4 linked regions of the Stegostoma tigrinum genome follow. The protein of the gene in region 1 purifies or fractionates together with the protein of each later gene. This does not show direct contact. Links are inferred from orthologs where the notes say so. Each region holds a gene or a part of one and is shown in the gene's direction. Other genes may lie near its edges.

Region 1 (6,884 bases):
TTGTTATGCACTGTTTACAAGGGTGACCATTAGTTCACAGTCTGCTTGAAATCTTTCGAACTTAAAAATCTGCAACCTTCAAAATATTGCACAAGGCGGCGAACAGAATCTGCTGCATCAGGCAGAATTGACTCTTTGATACAATTACTAGTGGCTTAAAATGGAGACAGTAAATACATTTGAGCCATAACATTTCAAACACGTATAATTATTATTGCGACCATTATTCCTGTCTCCCTCAATGCTGACTCTACCTCTTCCATACTATGATTTCTTAACCCAAGGAATCGCGTCCCTTTCTCTGTTCCAACAATTCTCTGAACTCCAATAACAACTATATTATATAAAACAACTTTTAGCTTATACAGACGCAAATTATTTAAATGCATTGTCCCTTTAAATAGCCCATTACAAATCCATTCGAAAATCTCTTACACCAGCAATAATGGTAACCAAACCCATTGTGAGGCAGAAGGGAGCTGTTTCAGCCCTTAGTGTCAATAACATTCTCAAACCTAAATGTCAGGCTTTGCTCAGATGGTAAGCACTATCCCTTTAATATTGAGATAAGAAGCTCAAGCCGCATTAAACAGTCCAATGTAGTTCAATTGCTGTTCGATTTTTAAAAAAGCTACTTGACAAAAGATAACACATGATCTAATCTTTATTTACTCAATCTAACACTTATTTACAGCATGAAAAAGTATAAGGTCATATCTTCTAACTCAACCATACCATAGTTTAAATAGGCGCCAGTTTATATGCACAAGTGAAATAGCTACTGAGCAAGTCTACACCTCAAAAGTGGCTGTAAAACACAAACCTGAGGGGTCGAAGGTGCTGTTATTTATGTTCTAAAACTATCCATGGTCGATGTTAAAGATAAAATATTGGGGCATAATGTTTTCAAAGCAGCTACTTAGTGTGCAAGCATCTCAATAGATAATTCGAGGTATCCTGAGATTATGGAAATGTGCTATATAAATATAAATACTTTTTGTTTCTGGTTGTCAATAAGCTGGATGCACTGTTTCAGCTGCTAATTAATGCAACAATTATTTTTACCACCTACTTCAACAGTGTGCTTATCAGCAAATTTGAGAGTAGCAATGACAACATTTGTACTGTTCTTTGCTACAAAACAATGCATTTCACAGACAACCTTTACGCAAGAAGGGAAATGTAAAGTATGTTTAAATTACAGATTCAAAAAGTAAAAATCAACTATCATAGCCCATTTATCGTCCTCCAACTAACTATTTATTTTGATCTGTGGCTATTATTCCTTACATGTAGTTCATTCATCACTCCTGCTGATTTTTCTTCTTTGAGAGAAGTTTTATTAGACACTCTGTCTTTGTCAGTGTGCTTCTAATGAATTTTTACCATTTCTCCTGGAGGATTGCCAATGCTGCCCGCACAAGAATCAGTCCCTGATAATTTATTGGTGTCCTGTTACCCTAACGAGGTAAACTTTTTTTTTGCATTATGGCAGGTTAATGTTTAAGTCACATTTCACAAAAATTCAACTAGGTTCTAATCGCCTATCAGCAGCATACCACCGGAGACTTGACTCAACACCAAATCATGCTCAATCCCTGCAAGGTATAAAGACAGTAACTCATCAATAAACAACTGGCAGCAGTGGATTTGGGTTCTTCTCAATTATCACAAAATATGTGAGCATGTCATGATCCGCCTGAATGTGGAGTGATCACACACTAACATGGTTCAATTACTTAAGTGCTTGTCTCTCTGCAAAACAAAGATTTTCACACACATATATTCTAAGTAATATATTCTCTTCTCAGTTGACTAAGCCAACATGTTTTTTTCTAAGCAATCTTATAAACATTAGCTTTCAGCATTGTAGAAACTAAACAGCACACCTTGCAACATTTTGATGTTCAAGTTCAATGCCACATAACAGGCATATCCACCTTAATCCAGATAGACTAACAGGAGGCTGGAAGAACACAGCAAGCCAGGCAGCATGTGGAGGAATGGAGAAGTCAACGTTTTGGGTATTACCCTTCTTCAGGATTGGATATGGGGGTTGGAGGAGGTGCAGATAAGGGGGATGGTGATAGGGGTATGGTGGCATTAGGTAGACACTTTCCACTCCCAAACCCTCTCTGCCTTCTGCAAAGATCATTCCCTTTGCCACTTCTTAGTTCATGCCACATTCCCCACCAACCACTCCAACACCACCCACTCCCCGCCGACCCCCGTATCTTTCCCTGTAACCATAAAAGGTGCAACACCCTGCCCACATACCACATCCCTCGTCTCTATCCAGGGCCCTAAACAATCCTTCCAGGTGAGACAGTTTTCACCTGTATCACCTCCAGCCTAGTCTACCGCATCTGGTGCTCCCAATTTTGGTGAAACCAAACATAGACTCGGTGACTGTTTCACCGAGCATCTCTGCCTGGCCTGAAACGGCAAGCCTAACTTCCCAGGAACCGCCCATTTCAATCCACCCTCTTCCCCTCCGACATGTCCATCCTCAGCCTCCTCCAGTGTCGCAGTGAATCAGAGCTCAGATTAGAGGAACAACACCTTATCTTCCACCCGGCCACCCTTCAGCCCGGAAGACTTAATATTCATTCTCTAATTTCAAATAACCTTCCAACCCATCCCCAAGCCTCCTTTCCAGCCCCACTACCTCCTCTCTATTCCACATGCCAACTCTCCCTTCCAGCTACCAACCGGATTCAGCACTCCCATCAACCAACCATACCATGCCTACTACCAGTGTCCACCTATCACCACCATTCCGCTACCCTCTCACCTCCCCCCACCTTTATCTGCAGCTACCCCCACTCCCACATTCAATCCTGAAGAAGGATAATGACGAAAATGTTGACTTCTCTTTTCCTCCAGATGCTGCCTGGCTTGCTGTGTTTTTCCAGCATCTGCAGTTTGTCTCTACCTCAATCCAGGTACCCAGCTAAAATATAAACATAGTAATGGTTGTCTACAAAGGATTTGTGATTATGTTCATGTCTTTGGCTTTTATCCAGGAGAATTTCTGGTTGACAGGCCAGAGTTGCAATTTGAACATTACAATCAAATCACTGCATTCTAATTCACCATTTAGAACTCTGATGAATTTCTTACCTGAAGATGTTCCCTGGCTACATATCACCGTGACAAATGCCATAAGAACAACAGACCTTTTAGCCTCCATGTTTAACAAATGCATGAGGGTCTAAATTTTGCTCTATGCTTTAAGAGGCAAGAGCAGAGTTCAGAGATTATACATAGGAAAAGTAGATACATAGCTGCAGGTAAAACTTAAGGAAATTACTTTACACAAGTACAATAAAATAACTATTAAAATTAATAAAGGTCCAGTGGCCACACCTAGTCCATAAATAAAATGCAAATAACTAGTGGACAGGGTCTGCAGTCCTGACATTACAAATACTCCTTCCACCTATGACATGCGCTCCATCAAGAAAATGTTCAATTGGTTAATATTTCTATTGCCTGTAAATTGCCCAGAGTAAATTGATAAGCACAAGATGGTGTAGGTTGGTCGAGAACTTTGCTGCACAATGTTGCATACTGGACAGAAACAGAGACCACATCCCGACATGATGTTGTTAGGATGAGGTGAGGTTCACTTGGCGGTTGTTCCATCTCCCACACACAGCTCAGACATCCCCACCTTCTTCCTCAACAGAACTGTCCTCTCTACCGTAGTCGGCAACTGATAACAACCCGGTAAAACTTTGGTTTTATTTTTAAGCAAGGTTTAAGACTAAAACATCACGTTACTTAATTTGAACAACATCGCGACGTCAGTGACAGAGTGGCGTCACTGAGACGGACCACGTGATCGCATTCTAGAGGAAGCCATTAAGTGACGGACCCGGTCGGTGGGGGAAGCCGTTCAGTGACGTTCCAGGTCGGGGGGAAAGCCGTTAGGTGACAGACCCGGTCCCGGGTGGGAGAAGGCATTAAGTGAGGGCTGACGGGCCATGGAGTCGCTGGTAGATGAGCGGCGTCGTGACTGGCCGCAGGACACAGTCGGCTACAGGCTTTATGAGATTGGCGGCGAGGCTCTTCAGTCTGATCCCGATCCCCGGGCCCGGTTGGAGCAGCAGTTGGAGAAGATCGTCGGCAGCCTGGCCCCGCTCTGTGCCGGTTACATCTGGCACAATGAGGCCTTCAGGCTGCAATACACGCCGGCCCGGGGTGAGTACACGGCCCCCTCTGGTATCCACGCATGCCTTTCTTCCCGTGCAAGCCAGTTTGTGGCTCTGTGCCTGAGCACTTCTCGTTATATCATTGTTAGAAGTTATATCATTAAATCTGATATCAAATGGTGATAAATGTAATTAGGTCACGCTTAATGGTACAATTCCATACACGTGCTAGGATGCAGAGCCACAGAAATGTGAATTAGCGCAGTGTGTAGTTGGAGGAGCACAGCAGGCCAGGCAGGGGACTCGGAAAAAGGGTCTTTTTCTGAAGAAGGATCCCGTTCCGAAACGTCAGCTTTCCTGCTCCTCTGCTGCCTGGCCTGCTGTGCTCCTCCAACTCCACACTGTTATCTCAGACTCCAGCATCAACAGTTCTTACTATCTTTAAATGTGAATTATATTTATTATAAAATAAAGTTGCCATAGACCTACGGGACCATAGGGTGGTAGTGGTTTGAAGACAACAGATGTTGGAGATCGCAGTGGCTCAGGCAGCATCCATGGAGAGAGCAGCTAACGATTCGAGTCTCGATGACTCTTCAATGGAGCTGATGTGAAATGTGGACGGAGCTGCATTTGTGCTGTAGTTGGTTTAACCTGAGGTCACCATGCCCCATGCAAAGGGAGACATTGATATGAAGACTCCTTCGTTGTAAACTCAGCTAGTTAGGGAATTGAAGCTGTGCTGTTGGCATCGCTCAAGATAGCAAACAGCCATTTGTCCAACAGAGCTAACCAACATGAATGTCTGTAGAGGAGAGAGAGATAATGGGAACTGCAGATGCTGGAGAATTCCAAGATAATAAAATGTGAGGCTGGATGAACACAGCAGGCCAAGCAGCATCTCAGGAGCACAAAAGCTGACGTTTCGGGCCTAGACCCTTCATCAGAGAGGGGGATGGGGAGAGGGAACTGGAATAAATAGGGAGAGAGGGGGAGGTGGACTGAAGATGGAGAGAAAAGAAGATAGGTGGAGAGAGTATAGGTGGGGTCTGTACGCTCATTCACTGCCTTCAACACTTACTCCCTCTATCCACAGTGACAGCAGTACCAATGTGAATCATCTACAAGATGGACAGTATCAATCCATCTGTGCTCTCCCAATGGAACCTTCCAAACCCAGTATCTCTACTATCTGGAACCAGCGCAGTGATGAATGGTAGGGAGTCAGTTAGTTTAGCAAACCAGTAGTTTATGATGCAAAGTGAGCCAACAATGTAGGTACATTTTCAGTTTCAGCTGAGGTTGTCATTAGGTCCCAGTGGTTGGGCAATCTTATCTGAGGCATGGTGACCCTCAGGTTAATGTCACCAACAGCTCTCTCCCTCAGATGAGAGAGCACCTTACTATCCTCTGGGACTAAGATGACTTGGGAACATTGCCATTTGCAAGTTTTCTGAATTACAGTACCGTTAAGTCAAGATTGTAGAGCTTCTTCCCTAACAGCACTGTGAGAGAACTGCACAATATGGACTGCAGGTGTTCAAGGAGGCACCAACTTAGAGGGATAAGTAATAATCAGCTTTTACATCTCAAAAACATTTTCTAAAGATTCCCATAGGAAGTTAACTACAATAGAAATTCCTTCAGAATTTTCCATCTAAGCTGTCAAGTGAACAGTGTGTGGAGGTTTGGTGATGGGCGGGGACACTGTAGAGACATCACTCAATGAGAACGACCCCTGTTGTGGCAACAATCTGCGTGTCAAGCCTTTGAACATGTGATGGTTGTCTTGCTGCAGTTACTGCACAAGGAAGCTGGTGCTATCCATGGGATTACAGATGTTTTTAATTAACCTTTCAGACATGTTATGACCCGTCTGGTGCAAGTGGGTCTTGAACCTGGACTTTTTCACCCAGAGATAGGAATGTTACCACTATCCCACAAAAGCCCTAAAGTAAGTGATGACAAGTAAGTTAGGATGGCATGGTGGCTAGTGGTTAACACTGTTGCCTCACAGTGCCAGGGACCCAGGTTCGATTCCATCTTTGAACAAATGTCTGTGTGAAATTTGCACATTCTCCCTGTATCTGTATGTGTCTCATTGCTCCAGATGCTTTGGTTGCCACTTGCAGTCCAAAGATGTACAAGTTGAGTAGATTTGCCATGCTAAATTGCCCTGTAATGTCTAGGAATGTAGAGGCTAGGTGGCTTAGCTTTGATAAATGAGGAGTTACAGGGATAGGTTGGAGAGCTGCATTTGGGTGCGATGCTCTTTGATGGTTCAGCGTAGACAATGGCTGAATGGCCTCCACACTGTGGTGTCAAAGAGAGATGAAAATTCTGCCTCATTTTAGACAAATATACAACGGTACAGAGATGAAAGAAACTTATAATCTGAGCTCCTGAACTAAGCTTGTGTGACAGTGAATTGAACAATGTTCTGTCATTTGTAAATTCTTGTGATTATGCCTTTGCTATGACTTGTACTCTGATTTATCAGGAGTTGTTTTTGTTTTGAGTCTAAACCCTGCTGATCTAAGCCGATTTAATGTACCATTGCTTAAATTTTAAGAGGCTAATGCAAATCTTTTCTTTTTAGGAGATGTTCCGGCTCACGTTGGTGGTGTCACAAACTTTGGTGATAATGTGGATGACGAATGGTTGATTGTCTACCTCATTCAACAAATCACCAAAGAGTTCCCAAACTTAGTGGCAAGGTATAGAATT
Region 2 (7,311 bases), on another chromosome or scaffold:
AGGTTCTAATAATAATAGACCACAAACCCCTGGTAGGTCTAACAAACAGGACAAGGCAGTGCCGCCCAAAGCTTCAGGCTGAATTCGGCATTAGGCTCTAATACTAAGTGCATATAATTACAAGTTGGAACACTGACCAGGAGGCGAAGTTGCAAATGCGGGTGCATTGAGCTGCCTCCCACTGGCAGATATATTAGCCTGTTTTAATACCAAACTGTTCCTGTTCTATTTCATTATAAGTCTACCCCTCAGGCAACTACAGTGATAGCTCCAGCAGAGTTGCAAATGGGAAAATGACTCCATACCAGGTTAAATTTGATTCACCCGGATCCGGGAGGGAGGGTGAAATGACATCAGGAATGTTAGCGCTGGACACATGACTCTGCTAAGCGAGAGAGGAAGTTTACCTCAGGTGATGAAGTTTGGAGTAGGAGATACAGGATTGGTCCTGCACTGGTAAGCGGCATGGTCGATGCAAGGTCAGGTCCAGTGATGTGTAAACTTTGGGCAGGTGCAACAGTCCTGAACAAACATATGGGGACTGTATGAAAGCTGCAAACTCAAAAACGGAGCAAGATGTGCCTGCCTCCTGGGAACAGGCAGAAAGGCTGGAGGAACCCACAGATTCTCCCTGTCCATCAAGCATTGAAGATTCTTCGGAATCTGAGATGGATAAGGTGGATATCACCACCTCAAAGTCTTTGCTGCCTCAATAGGAGAGTAAATTTCTTCCAAGGTTCTCCAGGCCCAAGAGGCGTGTTACTGTGCATCACATGCCACCTGTATCTAAGACAGAGTCAGTGGAACCTGACCTGGCGCTAAAATGCCTCAGGAGAAGCTACAAAAAAATGAACTGGCCTATGTCCTTAGATTCAGAGGGGGAGGGATACAGTGATCCCAACAAGAGGTGCTCTAATTTTACAAATGCAGGTGCAATCCTCCACCTAGTGGTGGCAGTGCCACAAATACAGCCTTTGCACCCAAGATGGTTTTATTTTAAAATCAACCGGTTTGGATGTTTTATGTTAACAAAGTGTGAAGCTGAATGAACACAGCAGGCCAAGCAGCATCTCAGGAGCACAAACGCTGACGTTTCGGGCCTAGACCCTTCTGAAACGTCAGCTTTTGTGCTCCTGAGATGCTGCTTGGCCTGCTGTGTTCATCCAGCTTCACACTTTGTTATCTTGGATTCTCCAGCATTTGCAGTTCCCACTATCTCTGGATGTTTTATGAGACGCCTTTTGTGGTAGGTGTTGAAATCGGACCTTCTGGGCATAGTTATACGGATACTACCAATGTACCACAAGAGACCCTCTAAGATAGTTTATGTTATGCTTGCCTTGTATTCAGACTACTCAAGCAAATGACCGGGAGCACTGGCAACATAAGTGCTACCAGCTTTGCACTGCTGATAACAGCATCCATCCCAATACATTAAAGAGATATTAGGGATTATTACAGGTTCATGAAAATGTTTCATAAGGCTCTTTTATTTGAGCTTGATTCTCCCTTTCATTACACAAAACATCTATGTTGGGGTATATAACAAATTGTGGACATAATGGTTTATTAAAATTAAGATTTTCCATTAATCCATTGAAGTCTATTAATACTGCATGCTTTATTTGGACCAAACAATAATTGTGACATAATTGTTAATTGTCCTGAATAAGGCATTAATACTTCAGCTATTCTGTGTTAATGCCAATTGTTAAATAAACCAATTAAAGACAGGCCATAATGCAAAAAATAAACTGCCCAAGATTATTTAGAAAATTTGAAAAAAACAATAAGATAGTAAGAGTGAATATCTTTTCAAATGTTTACTTTGTTCTTCTGAAATCTTGAAATCAATCCTGTGCAAAGTCCTGACATGTTGTTGAGAAAGCTGAAATGCATGTTCACATTACAAACCAGTTAAGACCTGCAAGAACACAAAGTGGAATTTCAGCTGAAGAACTGAAGATGATGGGGCAGAAATTGTCGTGTCAGTGTCGATTGGATTCAGAGATAGTAGGAACTGCAGATGCTGGAGAATCTGAGATAACAAGGTGTAGAACTGGATGAACACAGCAGGCCAAGCAGCATCAGAGGAGCGGGAAAGCTGACGTTTCGGGTCAACACCCTTCTTCAGAAATGGGGGAGTGGAAGGGAGTTCTGAAATAAATAGGGAGAGAGGGGGAGGTGGATAGAAAATGGATAGAGGAGAAAATAGGTGGAGAGGAGACAGACAGGTCAAAGATGCAGGGATGGAGGCAGTAAAGGTGACTGTCGATGGGGAGTTAGGGAGGGGAAAGGGCAGTCCAGGGTGGACGGACAGGTCAAGGGGTCAGGATGAGATTAGTAGGTAGGAGATGGGGGTGGGGCTTGAGCTGGGAGGAGGGGATAGGTGCGAGGAAGAACAGGTTAGGGAGGTGGGGACAAGCTGGGCTGGTTTTGGGATGCGATAGGAGAAGGGGAGATTTTGAAGCTTGTGAAGTCCACATTGATACCATTGAGCTTCAGGGGTTCCAAGTGGAATATGAGTTGCTCTTCCTGCAATTGTTGTGGCATTGCAGGAGGCCCAGGATGGACATGTGGTTTGAGAAGTGGGAGGGGGAAGAGTTGAAATGGTTTGTGACTGGCAGGTGCAGTTGTTTAGTGTGAACCGAGCGTAGGTGCTCTGCAAAGCAGTCCCTAAGCCTCTGTTTGGTTTTCCTGTTGTAGAGGAGGCCACAACGGGTACAGGAGATGCAATATACCACATTGGCAGATGTGCAGGTGAACATCTGCTTGATGTGGGAAGTCTGCTTGGGGCCTGGGACGGGGGGTGAGGGGGGAGGTGTAGCACTTCTTGCGGTTGCAGAGAATAGTGCCGTGTGTGGTGGGGGTGGAGGGGAGTGTGTAGAGGACAAGGGAGTCACGGAGAGAGTGGTCTCTCCGGAAAGCAGGTAAGGGTAGGGAGGGAAAAATGTCTTTGGTGATGGGGTCGGATTGCAAATGGCGGATGTGTTGGAGGATGATGCCTGAAACGTCAGCCTTCCTGATCCTCTAATACTGCTTGGCCTGCTGTGTTCATCCAGCTCTACACCTTGTTATCCTTGATTGGATTCAATGTTGGTGCAGCATGCTGACCAACAGTATACTGACATTCTCCATACATTGATGTAGGGTCAGACATGATCAGCCACTCTAGGATGGACAAGACCTATGGAAGATCAAAAGCTAGTCAGGTTGTGCAAACAGCAACACCAGTAAAGTGGTAGGTTCTTTGAAAGGCCCTAACAGAGAACACAATCTATTTTGATTTTTTGCAGCAAATGGGTCACAAGTTTTCATTTGGACATATTCAGGTGATTTGTCTAGAATTTTCCTATCATTAATGCCCGCCACAATCTGGCACTCTCAATAATTTAACAACTGCGGTGTCGAGATTGGATTAAAGCAATATCCCAAGCATTTTATTTATTACTGTCACATGGACCTGATTACAGTGAAAAGATTTGTTTTGCAAGCAGTACAGGCAGATCGTAACAAAGAAGGACAAATGAATCATAGGGCGCTTAGAGTTACAACTGCTCAAAGGTGCACAAAAGTAAGGACAACATTAGATTTGAAATTAAAGAGGTCCATTCAGCAGTCAAATACCAGCAGGGCTGAAGATATTCTTTAATCTGCTGTGTGTGTTCGGGGTTCTGTATCTTCTGCCTGAAGGAAGAGCTTAGCTCTGAGGAGCTTACAATATAGGGACAATCAACAGGGAAAATAGGCACGTCTATGAAGTTTGTCGGTATCAGAATTGGGAGGAAGAGCTGGTTTAAGTAAAGATCGGTGAGTTACAAGTGCAGGCTGTCATGTGGAATCGTGGTGTTGTGGCAGTAACAGTGACCTGGCAGAAGGAAGGCCAGGACTGTGTGTTAAATATCCTGGATACAGGCTGTTGAGGTGTTACATTAAAGGAGTTTTTCAACCATTATGCTGCAATATTCTTCTTCCTGAGAAGTGTATTCGTTATTTATTCAATATTACCATATTACCTTCAAATAAAAGACTTAGTGCAATAATACTTTGCCTGGAGAGAACTTTGAACGAGTGGTTTCCATGGGGGGAAGATAATAAAACAAAAAAAAACTTTATTTCCATTCAATAGATTAAATAGTTTGGTTTACAATGGGGTTAAGGCGCTGAATAGAACATCACCTTCATTCCTTGTAGAAACGAATTGACTTGGAAGGTCTGCATGAGCTGAGAGTGAGGGCAGTGTCAGGGGCGGAACCATAAGCTCAGGGACCGGTTTGTGCTGGTGCGGCTGGGGACGGTTACATTGACGGACCGGAAGGGGTCCGGTATGTATTTGGTGTTGCTCCAGCAGTCTGCCGGTTGGTATCGCAGGGAATTAAAGCTCAGGGCTGAATGAACGAAGGTGAATGGGGTTCAAATTCTCTCTCTCTCTCTCTCTCTCTCTCTCTCTGTCTGTCTGTCTGTCTGTCTGTCTGTCTGTGGGTGAGGGGGGAAAGAATGTGAGAGGTGGGTGTGAGGGAGGGGAGGCGCCTAACATCAACTGCATTAGACACAGCTTTCACTAAACCTTTACAGCATAATAGACTGTAATAAAGGTCATAAATAGTGACTTTAAGAAAAACACAAGAAATTCATAACAATTCGTACAGCTCCAGATTATCTTCTTGTTACTAGATTGAGGGATTTAGTTTTAATTGCAAACTCAGATTCAGCATAAATGTCTGAGCTAATCTATTCTTTCCTTTTCCCAGACTCTAGCCAGTGATGATAGTGGGAGTATCCAGTCAGTTGTTGGACATGTTCAGTCTTATTCATCCTAACAATATGGCCAAAATATTTTAATTTGTTCCCTTAAACCCCCTGCTTTAGTTTGAATTTTTAAATTACTGTATTTCTTTTAAATTGCTGTTATTTTTAGGGCTTGCCACATTGTGAATAATATCGTGAGTCAGGTCTTATTTGATAGCGTTAGAAATGCAGGTCCATTTAAGGGGCAAACTGAAATAACTCTAGAGTACATTGAGACAGTAGGTGTTCTTTGTCTTTAAGAGCTTAGTTCTTTTAGCCTCTCGGTCTTTCTCTACCAGTCTCACCTTTGGTGGTCCACATTGAATGAATAACTGGAAACAAGGATAACTTAGGGATGGTGGATATTGGGTGGAAGGTCTCACAGGTGATTTGGTGGTGGGAAAGAAAAACATTCAGTTGTCTGTGATAATTCCAGATATTAAAAGAAGAGCTTGGATTCTTATTACGGGTCCTGTGTTCAAAGTGTAGTGTCTGTATCTCTGGGCTAGGTGGCTTGGGTTCAAGGCTCAACTGCCTGAGATGTGTCATTAACATATCTGAACAGATTGATTTTTTTTCAACAAAAAGCTTGGTTTTTCATACCTTATGGAGAAAAGGCAGAAAAGTGGAGCTGAGAATTATCAGATCAGCCATGGTCTTGTTGAATGATGGTGCAGACTTGATGGGCTGAATGGCCTACTTCTCCTTCATGTTATCATCTTAAAGTGGATAGTTGGTTTCTGGATAAAGAACTGTTGGTGTTAAACTATAGGTTTGTAATTAAATGCTTGCACAACTATGATAGGTTTTTGCTACCTAATTCAACATCAGGATATTTTTCTGTGGAATTTTATTGCCTTTGGCTTGGCAAAATCTACTACTTGTATGCCCTGTAGCACTTCATAAAGTCTTTGATAATTTGGTTGTGTGTTTTAGCAGTTGCGTTTATGCTTTCTTAATAATATCAATGAATGTATGTATTCTGTTTTCATGGTTGCAATTTACCTGACCTTTCTCAGCAAACTGCCTGAGAGGAATAAACATGCAAGTGACTATGGTCTTTCCTAGTTAGTTAATTGCATAAGTACTCTAAGCAAGTAGCTAGCCATTTGTTGAAATGATTTTGGCATCAGTGAGCAGTAGCAATTTTGATAGAACTTTTAACCAAAGTATAATGTTTTTTTCACAGTCTATGTAGTTCATTTATCTTCACAAAAATGTCGGTTTTAATTTATTGATGATCTTCATTCTTGTGTAAAAGAACAGATTGAAGCATGTCAGATTGCTTAATGCCTCTGCCTGTAAAGTTATTCAGAATGTTGTCCCTAGGAATTGAATCACATCTTACACGCACATGCAGCCTTTGTGCAGTTATGCTGCAGCATCTTAGTGCTGATAGAGCTATGGATTCAAAACAACTTGTTAAGGAATTTGAAATGGGATCAGCTTTGGCCTAACCAAAGGCATTGTTTGATTCATTAAGTTTTCAAAGGATGCTTTAAAGATGAAAGGTGGGAATAATTGAGACTGATTTAGAAAAAGAATCTGAATGGCAAAGGAGTTTCAGAGTAAACAAAAGCCATCACTGATCTACTGTGAGGAGTGTGGGGAATGAACAAGAATCTAGGTAGGGAGCAAATGATGTGGGCAAGGATATTGAATTAGTGGATATTTCCCAAGCAGGCTGGAGGAAAGCTTTGGAAGAATTTGATAAAGGGACAAAATCCATTAGGTAAGATAGAAAGTGGCAGGGATCTGGTGAGGTTAAAATGGATAAGATGCTATTTATGTGGCGCAGGAGCTAATTTATACTAGATTAATTTTGTGAAGAGAGGCCAGCTGAAAGAAATTCATTTTTGAGGTAACCATGTGTGAATGAAGGTTGTGGAACAAAATGGGTAGGATTACTTTAAAGTGTGGAATTGAGAATTATGAAAATAAAAAATTGCCTAAAGCAAAATTAATGCCAGCTCATAATAGTGGTAACTTAAGGTGCTATGTAACAAGCAATATTGAATGCCGTTAATGGCCGTAGTTCTCTATAATGTAAGATCTTAGTAGTTTACGTAAATTGGATGTTGATGTGATGTTTAACTAAGTTCTTCTCTGTCTGTTTTGGAATACAGGCCCAAAATATGGCTACTGTGGAAATGGATCAAGAACTGGCGAAAAAACTGTTCTTTGAAGGAGGCACGCTTATAATACTTGGTGTTCCTGAGGGCACAGAATTTGGCATTGATTATAATTGTTGGCAAGTGGGCCCCAAATTTAAAGGAGTGAAGATGATCCCACCGGGAATCCATTTTATGCATTGCAGCCCTGTGAACAGCAGAGATATTCGGATAACAGGACCACGCACGGGTTGTTTCTTTCATATAAAACAGAAGGAAGTTCTAGTGAAGCGATGGGACAAGAAGGAAGAAGAAATAGTTTCAGTTGCAGTTTCGGAAGAAGAAAGAGAGCAGATAAGAGAGAATCTGACTGAACTGGACAAATGTTTAGGACCATATCCATATGAAACAA
Region 3 (7,804 bases), on another chromosome or scaffold:
GAGGAATCAAACAAACTATGACAGTAATGCCACTGGCTAGGGACTCAGTGATGGATGTTTCAATTATCCTCAGTCTCCCCCCATGAGGATCATCACATGAAACCATATCCATCTCTAGATAACAAAGTGTGGAGCTGGATGAACACAGCAGGCCAAGCAGCATTTCAGAGTACAAAAGCTGATGTTTCGGGCCTAGACCCTTCATCACCCTTCTCTGATGAAGGGTCTAGGCCCGAAACATCAGCTTTTGTGCTCCCGAGATGCTGCTTGGCCTGCTGTGTTCGTCCAGCTCCACACTTTGTTATCTTGGATTCTCCAGCATCTGCAGTTCCCATTATCACATATCCATCTCTACTGGTTTTTCTGCTATTGCTGTCTATCAGGGGTCAGCTTTCTCTGTAAGAGACAGCAAAGTGTCTGTGTTTAGGTAACATGCTTTTCATAGCTGACAGTATATTAGAAGCTGAGGTGTGGGTGCATTGTAGTGAGAGGAAACACATGAATGCCTGTCTGTTAACTTTGTAATTATTATGTTATGCATTGCATAGGCAGAGAGTTTGGCAGTACTATTAATTGAATATGGCATCTGAAGATGCACTGAGGCCAAAGGTCCAGTTTCAAGTCCGACCTGCCTTGAAGCCATATTATGTGTCTGAACAGTTGAGTAAAAATATTTTTGCCCCACTACCTTTTACCATGTACGCAAGTTATTTGATTTTCAGAACTGTATATAAGTGCTTGGTGTCAAACTCTTGGCATTAACTTTCATGTCTGTCCACTCTCACTGCTTCAGAGGTTACAAGAACAGAAAATACTGAAGAAACTCAGCAGGTCTTCAGTATCTGTAGAGAGAAAAAGTTAATGTTTTGAGTCCAGTGACCTTCTTCAGGACTGTTTTCACTGTCTCCTTAATATCTCACAGTTCAGTCTCTAGTAATAAGGTCTCCAGTGTCATATTTGAAATCACAGAATCTCTCTCTGTTCTGTTTATGCAGTTACTAAGGTGTCTTTCTTCATCTCTCATTCTTCTCTGCCAATTGAAGAGGTGTTTTTTTTCTTTATTCATTCACGAGATGAAGGTGTCATTGGCTAGGCAGCATTTATTGCCCAGACGGCAGTTAAGCATCAACCACTTTGCTGTGAGCCAGGAGTCACATGTAGGCCCGACCAGGTAAGGCAGTTTCCTTCCCTAAAGGACATTACCAGAAGGGCTTTTCCTGACAATTTACAATGGATCCATTGTCATCATTAGATTCTTAATTTCAGATATTTATTGACTTCAAATTCCACCATCTGCGGTGGCAGGATTTGGAATGTTTTCTGGGTCTCTGGATTAACAATCCAGCGATAACGCCACTAGGCCATCACCTCCCTGGCTTTATGATACACAGGCTACCTTTAAAGTAGAGATAACAAGGTGTAGAGCTGGATGAACGCAGCAGGCCAAGCAGCATTAGAGGAGCAGGAAGGCTGACATTTCAGGCCCAGACTCTTCTTCAGAAAAACTGCAGATACTGGAGTCAGAGATAACACTGTGGAGCTGGAGGAACTCAGCAGGCCAGGCTGCATCACAACAGCAGGACAGTTGACATTTCAGTTCAGGGCCCTTATTCTGATTTCTGAAGCCTTTCCATCTGTCATCACAAATAGTACTATTGACGTCAAAGGTGGAGGTAGTAGAGAAGTAGATAGAGCAGAAGTACTAAAAGGTCGACAGTACTCGAAGTAGAAAAGTCATCTTGGTGTGAACAACAGAAATAGCTGGAGAAACTCAGGAGGTCAGGCAGCATCTGTGGAGGAAAAAAGCAGTCAACTTTTCAGAACCAGTGACCCTTCTTTAGAACAAATTAGTCTGATCAATGGTCATTGGACTTGAAACATTAACTGCGCCTCTCTCTCAGCAGATGCTGCCAAACCTGCTAAGTTTCTCCAGTTAGTTTGGTTTATGTTTGTTTCAGAAAAGTCATTTTGTTTAGGGATCTGATTATCTGAATTACCTTAACCTCATACAAAGTGGTACAAGACAAATCAGATTAGAAGATGAATGCATGGCTCAGAGTGATGTCAGACAAGTGGGTTCTAGTCTATGGGAAGCTGGCATCAATATTGGGGAAAGTAGTATCAGCACTTCAGGGTAACCACCTGAACCATACTGGGTTGATGTTATTTGAGCCATGTAACTAGGGAAGTAGAGAGTAATTTGTGCTTAAAAAAATGATGAGGAAGGGATCAAATTTGGATATATCTAGATCAATGAACTCACGACACAAAAATGATATCAGTTTTAGAAAGGATAAATAGGCTTCTTCAAGAAATGGTAGAGACTACAAATCTAACAGTGAATTAACAGATAAGGCTGGAGATTAGAAACATGCATAAAACTAAACACACTATCTAATGCACACAATTTTCAATAAATAAACAGAAATTGAACTGCAAATGCACACAAAATAGATACAATCTGACAGCCAGAGAGATGGCTGCAAGATTGGTATCTCTGTTAGCTAATGACTCTGTTAGCTAATGATGGTAATAGACAGGGATAACCAATTTTAAGATGTGAAAATGGTTTGGCAAGAGATGAAGGATGGTAAAGGCAAGATGTCACTTGCGTGATTGTTGTACAGGCCTCCTAATATTAACTACATCAATTATGACAACTATGTCCAAAAAGCACAGCATCAATCACAGAAAATTTTAATCTAGATACAGACTAGAAAAGTCACAGAGGCAGACGAAGCCAAGAACAGGTCATAGAATATTTTAGGGGATAAATTCTTAGAACAGCACATTCTGGTACAAACCAGAGAGCAGCCGTTACTAGACCCGTTGCAGTACAGTGCCTGGAATGAGCAGGTTGTCTAATGAGAAAATATTGGCTGGCTAGGCTTTTATCCAGTGGAGTTTACAAGACAGAGGCAACTTGATCAAAACATACAAGATCTTGAAAGGACTTGACAGAGTAGTTGTAGAGATGTTTCTTCTGGTGGGAGAATCTAAAACTAGGAGTCACTGTTTAAACATAGGTGGTCAGTCAGTTAAAACAGATGAAGCATCTTTCCCCCCCAGAGTCACCAGTCTTTGGAGAGGCAATGGAAGCAGAGTCCATAAAGATTTTTAAGCCGGGGTAGGTAGAGTCTTGCTGGCAAGAGGGTGAAAGACTATCAGGGATAGGCTGGAAAGTGGATTTAAGATTGCAGTCAAATCAACTGTGATCTTATTACATGACAGAGCTGGCTCGAGAGGCTGAATGGGCTACTTTCGCTCCTGCAGGCAACTGAAAGAAACAAAATATAACTTGCAGAGATCCTCACCAGAAATTCCAATTTTCCTTGGGTATGGAGGACGTGCTAGAAGACTGGGGTGTTAAAAAGATTACGTCATTAATCAAAACATGGGAAGGGAACAGACCTGCAATGCGTGGAGCTGGATGAACACAGCAGGCCAAGCAGCATCTCAGCTTTTGTGCTGCTGGACCTGCTGTGTTCATCCAGCTCCACACTTTGTTATTTTGGATTCTCCAGCATCCGCAGTTCCCATTATCACTAGACCTGCAATGCGAGAGCCCATCGACCTAACGTTGGCAGTGTAAAAACTTACAATAAAATAAGTCTCAGAAATGACAGCGAAATTCTCAAAGAGAGCATGGCAATCGGCAAAAGAACCAAAAGGAGCACTGAAGGAAGCAACGAAATTGCCGGGCAAACTCAGTAGGTCTGGCAACATCTGTGGAGAAAAAAAGACCCGAGTTTGTTCAGCAAGTTTTTGTTTCAACATCCGCTAATTTTCTTTTTAATTTTCTCATAGAACTGAGATTTCTTTTCAACCAAGTTAACAATTGTTACTGAAAACAAAAAAAAAATTCTGGAGATTACAGCCGGTCAGGCAGAATTCGTGGCGAGATAGCAAACTAACGTTCTGATGCTGACTGACCGGCTGTGATCTCCAGCATTTTTAGCAATAATTTCCTCCCACGTTGTGTAACAATTGTTACGACCTGGAATGCCTTGTTTGGAATAATGTGCCGATGAATAATAATTTACAAGGTGCAGTTAGGGGGGGGAAGAGGAAAACTGTGTGGTAAGAAATAAAACAGGAGTGGGGAGGAGTGTGTTCAATTAGCTAGTTGCTTCAAAGAGCCGGTTCAAGAACGATAGGTCGAACAGCTTGGTTTACTACACTATTACATAAATTTCAATCACTTCTTGATGCATTACTCAATAAACTTCGCGGTACTTCCTGCTCGTGCAACGATCAGTGCCCAGGTTTAAAAACGTTATTAAATTCTTTGCAGCTTAGACAGTCCGTTCAATCATGAAACATTAAAGATAAGGAAGTTTAGAATGAGACCACACAAGGCAATTCTAACGTTTCGTGATTCAGCAGACTTCTTTAAATTGTCGTTCTTAATATGACAAGCTCCGAACATTACGCAATCGAGGGCACTCCACTACATTTTAACTTATCATTTATCAGTAAAAGGCAGATTACTACTCACAGGCACGACCCCAGTCTGGATCCAGAAGCAAGTGGAATATAGAGCCATATTGATGTGAGCTATCAGGATGACGAATCCCGATTTACTGCCTTGCTCTGGAATTGCCATGATCTCCAAGCGCAGGCAGGATTCCTATCTGTTTTGTGTGATTGCACACCTCAAACTCCTGCGCCTCTATGATCAGCCTGGCTGAATAAACATCTAATTCAAGGTGGGCGGGTGTCCGTACCGACACACAGCACCAGGTGACCGGTGGGAATCCCAACCAACAGGACAAAGCAGAGGGGCGGTACTAACCATCCCACAACGCGGGCACCCAGAAGGCTTACACAACAACTCAATATCCCTCTATCCGTCCCGCCATTGCCAACAGTAGCATGCAATATTTAGCGCGCACTTAGCGTTCCAAGTGGCCCAGCAACAAAAAATTCCGTCTTCTCCCTCACCCCGATTGGAATAAACCAATTCCTCCGCTCTTAATTCGTCAGAGCAACTGCTCATCACCGTCGCTTGGCAGACTGGCCGGTTGCTACCATGGTGAGTATTGGAGATGGTTTGCACGGTATGATGGGAATTGTAGTTCTCGAGGATGAAGCGAGAGTTGTAGGACTACAATTCCCATCACGCATCCAGGGTAGTGGCGCGCTTGTTGTCAGTGAATGGGCCTGTAGAAGGTGTTGCAGAGACCGGAGTCAGTATCTGGGAATTAGGCTATTATCGGGACTAGAGGGATATGGACTCAGAGTCACAACTGAATGAACAAAGAACCGCTGTGCTTTTGGAGCTAGACAATATCTTGTCCACCACTCGGAATTTGTGAGTATTACGGAATGATTGAAAGATGTAGCAGAACACACTGCGCAATCTTCATGCGGAGATATGAATATTTCATGAAACAAATAAGTCTGGAAATCTAGCGTAAAAAGCAACTGTTATAACTTATTACTGTAGTGCTAACTCATTTCCGTGTAGAAGACATCAGGCCATCATCGCCTTTGATCACTCTTGGTCGTTTTATCAAAGTGACATCGCTCACAACAGAGCCGAGAAGTGAGTATTAGCAGAACATGCAAATGAGAGCCGTTAGAAAGACGAACAGGGCTGCGATATTTTTTTGGTTACCCGAACCAGTTCTGCCATTCGGTAATATCTTGTTGATCTGGATGCTCAATTTCACATTCTTGCCTATGTCACATTATTCCCTTGTAGATTACTAATTTGTCTAATTTAGCCTTCAGTATACTAGTGCCCCGGCCTCCATTGCTCTATACCATAGAAAAATCCAAGCATGAGTAAACTTCACAATCCCCCCCCCCCCGCCCTTTCCAGATTCTTCCACTGAGCATTTACCCGGTCAAGCCTCCTTAGAATCTTAGATAACACGGTGTAGAGCTGGATGAACACAGCGAGCCAAGCAGCAAGGCTGACGTTTCCGGCCTAGATCCCTCAGAAAATTTTCTGAAACGTCAGTCTTCCCGTTCCTCTGATGCTGCTTGGCCTGCTGTGATCATCCAGCTCTACACCTTGTTATCTCAGATTCTCCAGCATCTGCAGTTCCTACTATCTCCTTAGAATCTTCACGTGTTTCAATAAAGTTGCCAATAACTAAAGGCCCAAGTACTACACCATTCTGTGATAGAACTCTTTCATTCTTGGGAATCAGCCCTGGTGCACAAATGCAGAACTCTAATAATGTGACCTGCCTGTGACCTTCTAAATGTTCCATTACTGTTTTAATGCCAAATTTGGTTGAATTTTATCAGGCTGTGATGAGATCTTTCTTGGAATCGGGTGAGATTTTGAGGGCCGTCTCAATGTTAAGGTCACTGCATCTTGTACAGTCTTGTCAAACAACATGGTGAAATTATTTAAATCATTTATCAATAGCAATGAGTTGCAATCTTACCAGACAAACTAGCTGTCATGAAAAGTCGACCAGAGTAGGTTTAGATGGCTTCAGTTCATTACTTGCTGCAAAAGACCTATGTTTTGCCCATAGAAAAACTGTACCTTAGGACACAATTCACCAATACCACCCTTATGTACCCTTCCATCGTGTACAGTAGATCTTGACTTTCAGGGTGCCATTGCCACCATCCTGGCATTCTCAAATGCAGGTTTATCTACCAGGACACACTGGCAGCACTGTACACCTATATTGGATGCAGGTACCTCTGAGAGACAGGAACCCATTCCGTGCTGTAGACTAAACTATCGTCCATGGCTGCTCCCTTGCTTCCTTCACGTGCAATCACCCTGGTCCCTACTGGCATTCCTTGTCTTACTGTACAGTGCCTTGAATTGACAGCTGACACAGTCTCACAACCAGTCAGGTGGCCATGCTGTGCAGCAGTCCTCAGTCAAGGGTGTCTGCTAAGTGTAAGGTAGTGAAGAACAAAGCACCACACTTACCCTGTCAGAGCAGAGGAGATTGTTCACCTTCCGGCAGCACTGTAGCCAGTCCTGCTTATTTTGGAGAAAGCATTGACTATCTGGTGATCTCTGACCATTCTGGCATGGTGTGGTGGTGTGGCCTCTTCGGCTGGTCACCTGGGAATAGGACTGCTGTTCTGTTGACCATTCAATCTACAAAGACCCCCAGGTTTCTCTCAGAAGGGTGGCCAGCCTCCCTCTCTCTGACATTTTTCCTGACTTCAATGACTGACAGGATAGCTTTGGAAAATGGAGCAACCACAAGGGATGCTAGTCTTAGGGAGGATCTCCATGGAACAGCCCGTGGTGAGATGGGATGGATTCTGACAGGATTTTTGCTGTGATGGTTGAAATGCCAATTAACATGTTAAGTTTAGTACAATTTAATGAGAAAACTCACTTGGTTTTGCTGCAAGAATAACCCGGCCAAACTTGATACAACTTGAACTTAGACATAAAAACCATGAGGTTCAACTTCAGAAGATGTAGGATCAGCAACAGGCTATTTAGAACATTTGGTCTTCTTCCTCGACATAAATCCCTGATGTGATAATCAACCCCACTTAGCTCTATTTTCTCACATTATCCTCACAATTCTTGACTTCCTTACTGAAGAGAAATCTGCCTATCTCAGCCATGAACATAGTTAACAACATAGCCTCCATTGTCCTCTGCAGTAAAGAATTCCATTGGTTCACTATCCTTTGAGAGAAATAGTTTCTCATCATCTGTCTTAAGTGGGGATCCCATTACTCTGAGATTATGCCCCCTAGTCCCACACTCTTCCCACAAGGAGAAACAGCCTCTCATGCACCATGTGACGTTCCCTAAGAATATTGTGTTTCAAAAAGGTGTCCTCTCATTCTTCTAAAT
Region 4 (7,385 bases), on another chromosome or scaffold:
TTTTTTAAGTAATTACTCAGGAAACTTGTCAATCAATTTTGCATAGAGACCTCCCACAAATAGCATACGGATGAGGAGTATGATTAGGCCATTCACCCCATAATCCGAAACTCTTGCCTGTGATATCCTTTAATAATTATAGTTGATCTGATTCTAGCCTCCAATCCACATTCCTGTCAATTGTCAACACTCATGAGTAAAGAATCTACAGGCCTTACAGGTAATCCATGACCCCACCTCCATCACACTAGAGAAGCAACTGGCACAAATTGCTGACCCTCAAAATGTTGCTGTTAATCTCCATCTATAATGGGAAGCTCCTTATTTTGTTTCTATGAAGAAAAACATTCTGTCAGCATCCATTCTGTCAGGACATTTTACTAAGATCAACTCTTGTTCTTCTAAACTGTAATGTATATAGACCAGTCACCCTTTCACCTTAAGACACCATGTCTGCTGATGATTCAAGGTATCAGTCAGTGAATCTTCTATGAAATAGTAAATTGTTTGCATTGTGAGTTTAAAGATAAATATTGACCAGGCCACCAGAGAACAGTCCCTTGCTCATCTTTATATAGTGGAAGTGAACATTTATACATCTAGCGGAGGGAGTAAAGATGGGACCTTGGTTTAACATCTTGTCCAAAAGACTATAGTGCTCCCAGAACACCTTGCTAACAGTGCAGCACTCCCTCATTATTACCCTAGCGTCTCTGAAGTGGGACTTCAATCCACAACTATTTCCAAATTACCCACAGGCTCAGGCAGAGCAAGGACAGCAGATGTCTTTCCCTAAATGTCCATTGTGAACATTTGGTGGGGTTTTAAAAGTGATCCGTGATCACTTTGTGGTAACTTTTTGTAGACAGCAGATATTTAAACAACTAAATCCAAACTTTGAAACTGTCCGTGATGAGGGAAATGGTTACTTCACATAATTGAACTAGTAAACAAGAACAGGCTAATACCGTGGGCACTGGTTCAAATCTTATCACAGTGGCTGATTAAATTTACGAAAATAGAAACTAGTTTCAGTATTTGTGAAATTTATCATTGTCAGAAAAACCTAAAGGGTTCACTTGCTGCTTCTTCTCTGTTCAAGCCCACAATAATATGATTGACTCTTAACCTGCCTACTGAAATAGTGTTGCATGCCACTTGGGAGCAATTAAGGGTGGCAGCAAATCCTTGCCAGTGATGCCAGCATCTCCTCAGTGTAACAATGAGGGAATACTGCGTTGTTAGCTTGGTGCTGTAGGAATGCCGCACTCTTAAGATATGCTGTCTTTTGGATGAGACGTTAAACCAAGACCTCATCTCGACCCTCTCTACTATGAAAGGATAATGGGCTTTAAACTTGTCTCTGTGGGTTATTAGTCCAGGTGCAGAAATCCAAGTTCATTGAGTAAAAGCTTAGCCGTGTGTCCAAAACACACACATTATGGCTTCTAGTGTACATTCCTACATTAGTATCAACTGCTTTGCATTGGTGTCATGTCAAGTTTGTTGTTGATGCAGAACCCAGGTTGGTGAAGTGATTGGAGAGAAGTGTGGGACATTAATCAATAAGGTGGAGAAGGTGAGTGTTGGGCAATGAGGAGCTATTTTTGTTGCCATGAGAAATTTCCTGTGTGCCCATGGACAGGATGAAATCTGCATACAAACCAGGCAAAAGAGTCTGCATAGAACCAGGATACCTCAAATTAAACAGAAAATCCTTCAAGGTAGCCACTCTTCAAGAAGCTACTCTTTCCATAGAAGTCATAATAGGAGAGAAGTTAGTGGTACTGGTATTTCAGGGCAAGTGATATACCATATCAAAGTCCCAATGTAATGGTAAAGTCCCAGAAGACCACAGGGCGAGTTACGGTTTATCCCAAGTGTCACAATGTACTGTGTTGGTGAAGCAATAAGGTTTAGTACAGAGGGGGAGGAGAGTTAAAATAAGTAGCACAATTTTTAAGAGGATACAGGAAGAGAGCCCTTGGTGTGTATGTACACAAATCTTTAAGTGACAGGGCATATTATGTTTAAAGAACTTCAAATTTATTAATACAGGAAGGAATGAGAACAAGGAATTTGAATTAACCTTTACTCCAGCTAGATCTCACTCAGTATTTTATACTATGTCCAACTCTAGGCATTGCATATTAGGAAGGCTGTGAAGACCTTCACAACCATGCAGAGGAGATAACATTACCAACGATTATAGACTTAACTATATGGAAAGTTCAGAGAAATCTAGCACATCTGGCATCCATCGAATCAAAATGTTAACTCTGCTTTCTCTCCTCAGAAGCTGCCAGATCTGCTGAGTTTCAAATTTACAACATCTGCAGTTATTTTGTTTAGAGAAGCAGGGGTTGGTTTCTTTAAAGAGAAGGCTTGGTGGTATTTTCATATCGATATTCAAAATCATGAATGGTTTTTGATAGGAGGAAGTGGAATTAACTAATTTTAACTAATTAACTAATTTTGAGTGGAAAGCAGTTCAGTAACTAAAGGAAACAGGGTTGCAAAGGATCCAGAGGTGACAGGATTTGTATTTTAAAGCATTGAGTTATGGTCTTAAATGTGCTGCAACATGGTGGAAGTGGGTTGAAGGGTTATGATGAGGAGGCAGAATAGTGGAGTTAAAGCTGTGATGAAATCAGCTATGATCATATTGAATGGCAGACCAGGCTCAAGGGTCTATTGCCTCTTGCTCCTAATTCTTGTGTTGTTTCACACAAATGAGTAATCTGGTATGTGAACTTCAGTACTGCTGTGATGCTAGATTACAGCTCCTTCCACATCACCCGATGAAGGAACAGCACTGCAAGTTTGTGATTTCAAATAAACCTTTGAAATATAATATGGTGTCTTATGACTTCTAACAAAGTGACAGATAAAAACAAATTGCTGTAGCAAGAAAGGAAAACTGAGCTAACGTTTCAAGTACAGCAACCCTTTTTCAGACTGTTCACAGTGCAAAATATTAATTAAAGATAAAATGTGAGGCTGGATGAACACAGCAGGCTCAGGAGCACAAAAGCTGACGTTTCGGGCCTAGACCCTTCATCAGAGAGGGGGATGGGGTGAGGGTTCTGGAATAAATAGGGAGAGAGGGGGAGGCGGACCGAAGATGGAGAGAAAAGAAGATAGGTGGAGAGGAGAGTATAGGTGGGGAGGTAGGGAGGGGATAGGTCAGTCCATGGAAGACGGACAGGTCAAGGTGGGAGGATGAGGTTAGTAGGTAGGGGATGGAGGTGCCGCTTGGGGTGGGAGGAAGGGATGGGCGAGAGGAAGAACAGGTTAGGGACGCAGAGACAGGTTGGACTGGTTTTGGGATGCAGTGGGTGGAGGGGAAGAGCTGGGTTGGTTGTGTGGTGCAGTGGGGGGAGGGGACGAACTGGGCTGGTTTAGGGATGCGGTGGGGGAAGGGGAGATTTTGAAGCTGGTGAAGTCCACATTGATACCATTGGGCTGCAGGGTTCCCAAGCGGAATATGAGTTGCTGTTCCTGCTGGACTTCACCAGCTTCAAAATCTCCCCTTCCCCCACCGCATCCCAAAACCAGCCCAGCTCTTCCCCTCCACCCACTGCATCCTAAAACCAGTCCAACCTGTCTCTGCCTCCCTAACCTGTTCTTCCTCTCGCCCATCCCTTCCTCCCACCCCAAGCCGCACCTCCATCCCCTACCTACTAACCTCATCCCACCTCCTTGACCTGTCCGTCTTCCCTGGACTGACCTATCCCCTCCCTACCTCCCCACCTATACTCTCCTCTCCAGCTATCTTCTTTTCTCTCCATCTTCGGTCCGCCTCCCCCTCTCTCCCTATTTATCCCAGAACCCTCACCCCATCCCCGTCTCTGATGAAGGGTCTAGGCCCAAAACGTCAGCTTTTGTGCTCCAGAGATGCTGCTTGGCCTGCTGTGTTCATCCAGCCTCACACTTTGTTATCTTGGGTTCTCCAGCATCTGCAGTTCCCATTATCACTGACGCAAAATATTAATTGTTTTCTTGCCCTAGAGTCTGTCAACCTTCTGAGTTTCTCTGGGAATCTGAAATTGTTTGTTTTAAATCATGTTAAGTCTGTTAAGATTGACCACTGGAGATAAAGCTTTGGTTAAAATTCAAGCAAAGTTTAGGAATTGATTCAAAATAGGACAAAAATAAACTATGGAATTCTATTGAAGGGTCGCTGGTCATAAAGTGTTAACACTTTTATTCTCCACAGATGCTGGCAAACCTGCTGAATTTATCCAGCGCTTTCTATTTGGTAGTTATCTGTCATTCAACATGACCTGTTGTATTTTCTATCCAAGGGAGTCGGAGTGCCACAGTATCAAAGGGTAACTGTTCCCCCATCGCCACCCTTTTTCGGATTACGGCACTGACGTGAAGTTGGAAGTCCCCTATTCCGAGACTGGGAGCATTACTGCCGCAAAGGAGCAGCGCTGCTTTACGGCAGCGCCGGTACCCATCGCGATGTCACTGGCGGGCCCGGTACGCCAGGCCGAGGCTTGTGGCCTGTGCTCGGGGAGCGGGGCCGCCGCCCGCTACACCTGCCCCCGTTGCAATGTGCCATTTTGCTCACTGCCCTGTTACCGCGGCCGCAAGCACCGGGCGTGCGCCGAGTCTTTCTACCGGGAGGCGGTGCTGGGCGAGCTGCGGGAGGACAGCCGGCGGGCGGGAGGCGCCGAGGGTCGGATGGACCTGCGGGAGAGCCTGAGGCGGCTGCGGCAGACCGAGGCCTGGGAACCGGGGCAGCTGGAGCCGGACGACCCGCAGCCTGGCAGCACAGCCAGCCGGCTCTGGAACTCCCTGAGCGAGGAGGAGCGACGCGACTTCCAGCGGCTCCTGGAGAGCGGCCAGGCCGCGGCTTGGGTCGAGGAGTGGAGGCCGTGGTGGGATCGGCGCCCCCCAGGCCCCGTCCAGGAGCTGGTGCCCTCGGTGAGAAACAGCGCCGCAAGTGTCTGGGAGGTCAATCTACAGCTCCCATTTCTCACCCATCCCCTACAGTGGGGATAGGAGCTGGGACCTGTCCCTGGGGGAATTGCCCCCTGGTTTTCACTCTTAGGTGGACCCTGGGGACAGTAACTAAAGTAATTTTGAGTTTTAAGAATTTCAGGATAAATTGGTGTCATTTTTTAAAAAAAAAATTAGGGCATGTTCCTTGAGAAAACACAGGAAGGAGTCCGGAAGTCAGGCTGACTTACCTGATCTCAGTGAACTTGTATTTAGTTGGCCTAGTGCTGTTATCACCAGTTTTTTATTTATCCAGAGACCCAGGTAACATTCGGAGAACCCAGGTTCCTGGCAGGTAGTGAATCCAATGATGACTGTGGAACAAAAACAAAAACAAAGTTGCTGGAAAAGCTCAGCAGGTCTGGCAGCATCCGTGAAGGAGAAAACAGAGTTAACGTTTTTGGGTCCGGTGACCCCTCCTCATGACAGTGTCACTTGTCAGGAAAAACACATCTGGAAGCTACTGTCCTTACCCAGTTGGGCCTACATGTGATCTTTAACTGACTTCTGGGCTATTAGGGATGGGCAATGAGTGCTGGCTTTGCCAATGATGCCCACATGCCCATGTATGAATAAAAAGGTGGCTCTTGTGGCTCTTATCTGCAAGATGAAGATGCAAGAAATGTAAGTTACTGAGAAATCTATTGACATTTCATGCCCATACCTATCAGGAATGGTAAAGATAAAGTTGCTAAAATCATACCAGACCATTATGCTGCTTTCATTAGAACGACATAAGTGATGGTGGTTTAACCTGAAGGTCTGGGAGAGATTGAGAAGGAGATCCCTTGACGGTAACTTCAACATGCTGGAATTGAGACCACACTGTCAGAGTCTCATTCTAATGCTAAGTGGCCTCCAGGAGATGGCAGGATACCAAGAAAGTACTCTTTCTCTGGAATATGATGTATTACATCCATTAGGGAGAGCAGAAGCTTTAGTTTGTCTCTGAAATTGTAATATTCCCTCAGTACTGCACCTCTGACAGTGCAGTGCTCCCTCAGTAGTGACCCTCCACAAGAGCATCACTCCCCTACTATTGTAACTTGGACATTGCAACACAGTCGCAGTAATACCCCTCTGACTGTGCAGCACTCCCTTAGTTTTGCCCCGTTGACAGTGGAGCACCTCTTCAGTACACCTCGCTGTTGGCCTAGAGATTACTTTCAAGTTCAATTCTCCCTTGGGGTGGCACAAGGCTTAGCGATTAGCACTGCTGCCTTAAGCACCAGGGACCCAGGTTCAAATCCACCCTCAAGCAACTGAGTAGAGCTTACGCGTTCTCCCCATTTCTGTGTGGGTTTTCTCGTGGCGCTCCTGTTTCCTCCCATAGTCCAAAGATGTGCAGGTAAGGTGGATTGACCATGCTAAATTACCCATAGTGTCCAGGGATGTGCAGGCGACATGGATTAGCCATGGGGATTACAGGGATAGGATGGGGGTGTTGGTCTGAGCAGGATGCTGTTCAGAGGGTTGGTGTGGATTCAATGGGCTGAGTGGCTGGCTTCCACACTGTAGGATTCAATGATTCTTGATCCTGAATAAGGCCATTAAAAGGCCTGTACACTTGATTGAAAATGTTGCACACAGCAAAACAATGGAGGAATGTTACTAAACTCTCTGGCGTGAACTTGAAACCATGAACTTATCCTCAACAGTGAGAATGGTATTAGTGAGTCAGTACTGAGAGCTAGTGAGCACTTACCAGTACTATTTATAAAAAAAATTGTTTTATTTTCTTCAAAAGGGGCTGGAAGAAGATCAAAGATGTGAGAAGATAAATAAAGCACAGCCTATGGTTGATGTTGCGGGAACTGGGAGTGAGAATAATTCAGAGATGGATGCATTCACAGAACAGCTAGCAACAGACAGATTCTGGGAACATGATGATTCTATTCCTGCAATCTGTAGTAACATTGTTCCTTTGCTCAGTTTGTGTTCAAAGGCCTCTCCCCTGATCCAATACAGTGTGGTGAACATTCTGTATGCATATGCATTCTCCATGAAGCTGGTGAATGGGGACTTATCAGGACCAATGAGGGACGAGTTTATCGAAGCTACAATGACAGTTTCTGAGGCCCTGAAGGGCAATCGTGTTTTTGTGTCTACTGCAGAGGCTGTGCAGTCTGGGGTTGGAGCAGTGCGGAACAGCTTGTATTTTTCTAATCCCTTTGAGCCAGTGAATACAATCAAGGACACATCTGTCCTGTTAACTGGAGGAAACGGGACATTGGACGGTCATTACACTTTGGCTGCAATCTCCCACCTTCATCGGGCACTAGGAAAAGCAAAGCGATCTCGACATAAGAAGGACCCTGATCATTACCGGGCTCAGAAGAAGTGTGCGTTCCTTCTGTCCTGGGTGAATGAGCATC

What was found.
Region 2: the proteins of ecd (region 1) and aar2 purify together in Homo sapiens (affinity purification with mass spectrometry; 3 studies listed by BioGRID and IntAct, counting the BioPlex papers as one, with this or other methods). This does not show direct contact. The link is inferred for Stegostoma tigrinum from reciprocal best matches to the Homo sapiens genes ECD and AAR2.
Region 3: the proteins of ecd (region 1) and tssc4 purify together in Homo sapiens (affinity purification with mass spectrometry; 3 studies listed by BioGRID and IntAct, counting the BioPlex papers as one, with this or other methods). This does not show direct contact. The link is inferred for Stegostoma tigrinum from reciprocal best matches to the Homo sapiens genes ECD and TSSC4.
Region 4: the proteins of ecd (region 1) and znhit2 purify together in Homo sapiens (affinity purification with mass spectrometry; 3 studies listed by BioGRID and IntAct, counting the BioPlex papers as one, with this or other methods). This does not show direct contact. The link is inferred for Stegostoma tigrinum from reciprocal best matches to the Homo sapiens genes ECD and ZNHIT2.

Annotation. Positions count from the first base shown.
Region 1 is NC_081390.1:21,632,315-21,639,198, forward strand, and holds the start of ecd (protein ecdysoneless homolog), read left to right. Parts: upstream 1-3,869; 5' UTR 3,870-3,989; coding exon 3,990-4,206; intron 4,207-6,756; coding exon 6,757-6,874; intron 6,875-6,884. UniProt on the Homo sapiens protein: Regulator of p53/TP53 stability and function. Inhibits MDM2-mediated degradation of p53/TP53 possibly by cooperating in part with TXNIP. May be involved transcriptional regulation. In vitro has intrinsic transactivation activity enhanced by EP300.
Region 2 is NC_081372.1:22,483,156-22,490,466, reverse strand, and holds the start of aar2 (protein AAR2 homolog), read left to right. Parts: upstream 1-4,288; 5' UTR 4,289-4,402; intron 4,403-6,914; 5' UTR 6,915-6,923; coding exon 6,924-7,311. UniProt on the Homo sapiens protein: Component of the U5 snRNP complex that is required for spliceosome assembly and for pre-mRNA splicing.
Region 3 is NC_081370.1:15,500,947-15,508,750, forward strand, and holds the start of tssc4 (U5 small nuclear ribonucleoprotein TSSC4), read left to right. Parts: upstream 1-4,798; 5' UTR 4,799-5,035; exon of another isoform or gene 5,036-5,059; intron 5,060-5,105; exon of another isoform or gene 5,106-5,314; intron 5,315-7,804. Other genes in the region: slc22a18 (solute carrier family 22 member 18), read right to left, coding at 3,601-3,726, 4,499-4,606. UniProt on the Homo sapiens protein: Protein associated with the U5 snRNP, during its maturation and its post-splicing recycling and which is required for spliceosomal tri-snRNP complex assembly in the nucleus.
Region 4 is NC_081366.1:12,222,290-12,229,674, reverse strand, and holds the start of znhit2 (zinc finger HIT domain-containing protein 2), read left to right. Parts: upstream 1-4,376; 5' UTR 4,377-4,470; coding exon 4,471-4,935; intron 4,936-6,757; coding exon 6,758-7,385. UniProt on the Homo sapiens protein: May act as a bridging factor mediating the interaction between the R2TP/Prefoldin-like (R2TP/PFDL) complex and U5 small nuclear ribonucleoprotein (U5 snRNP).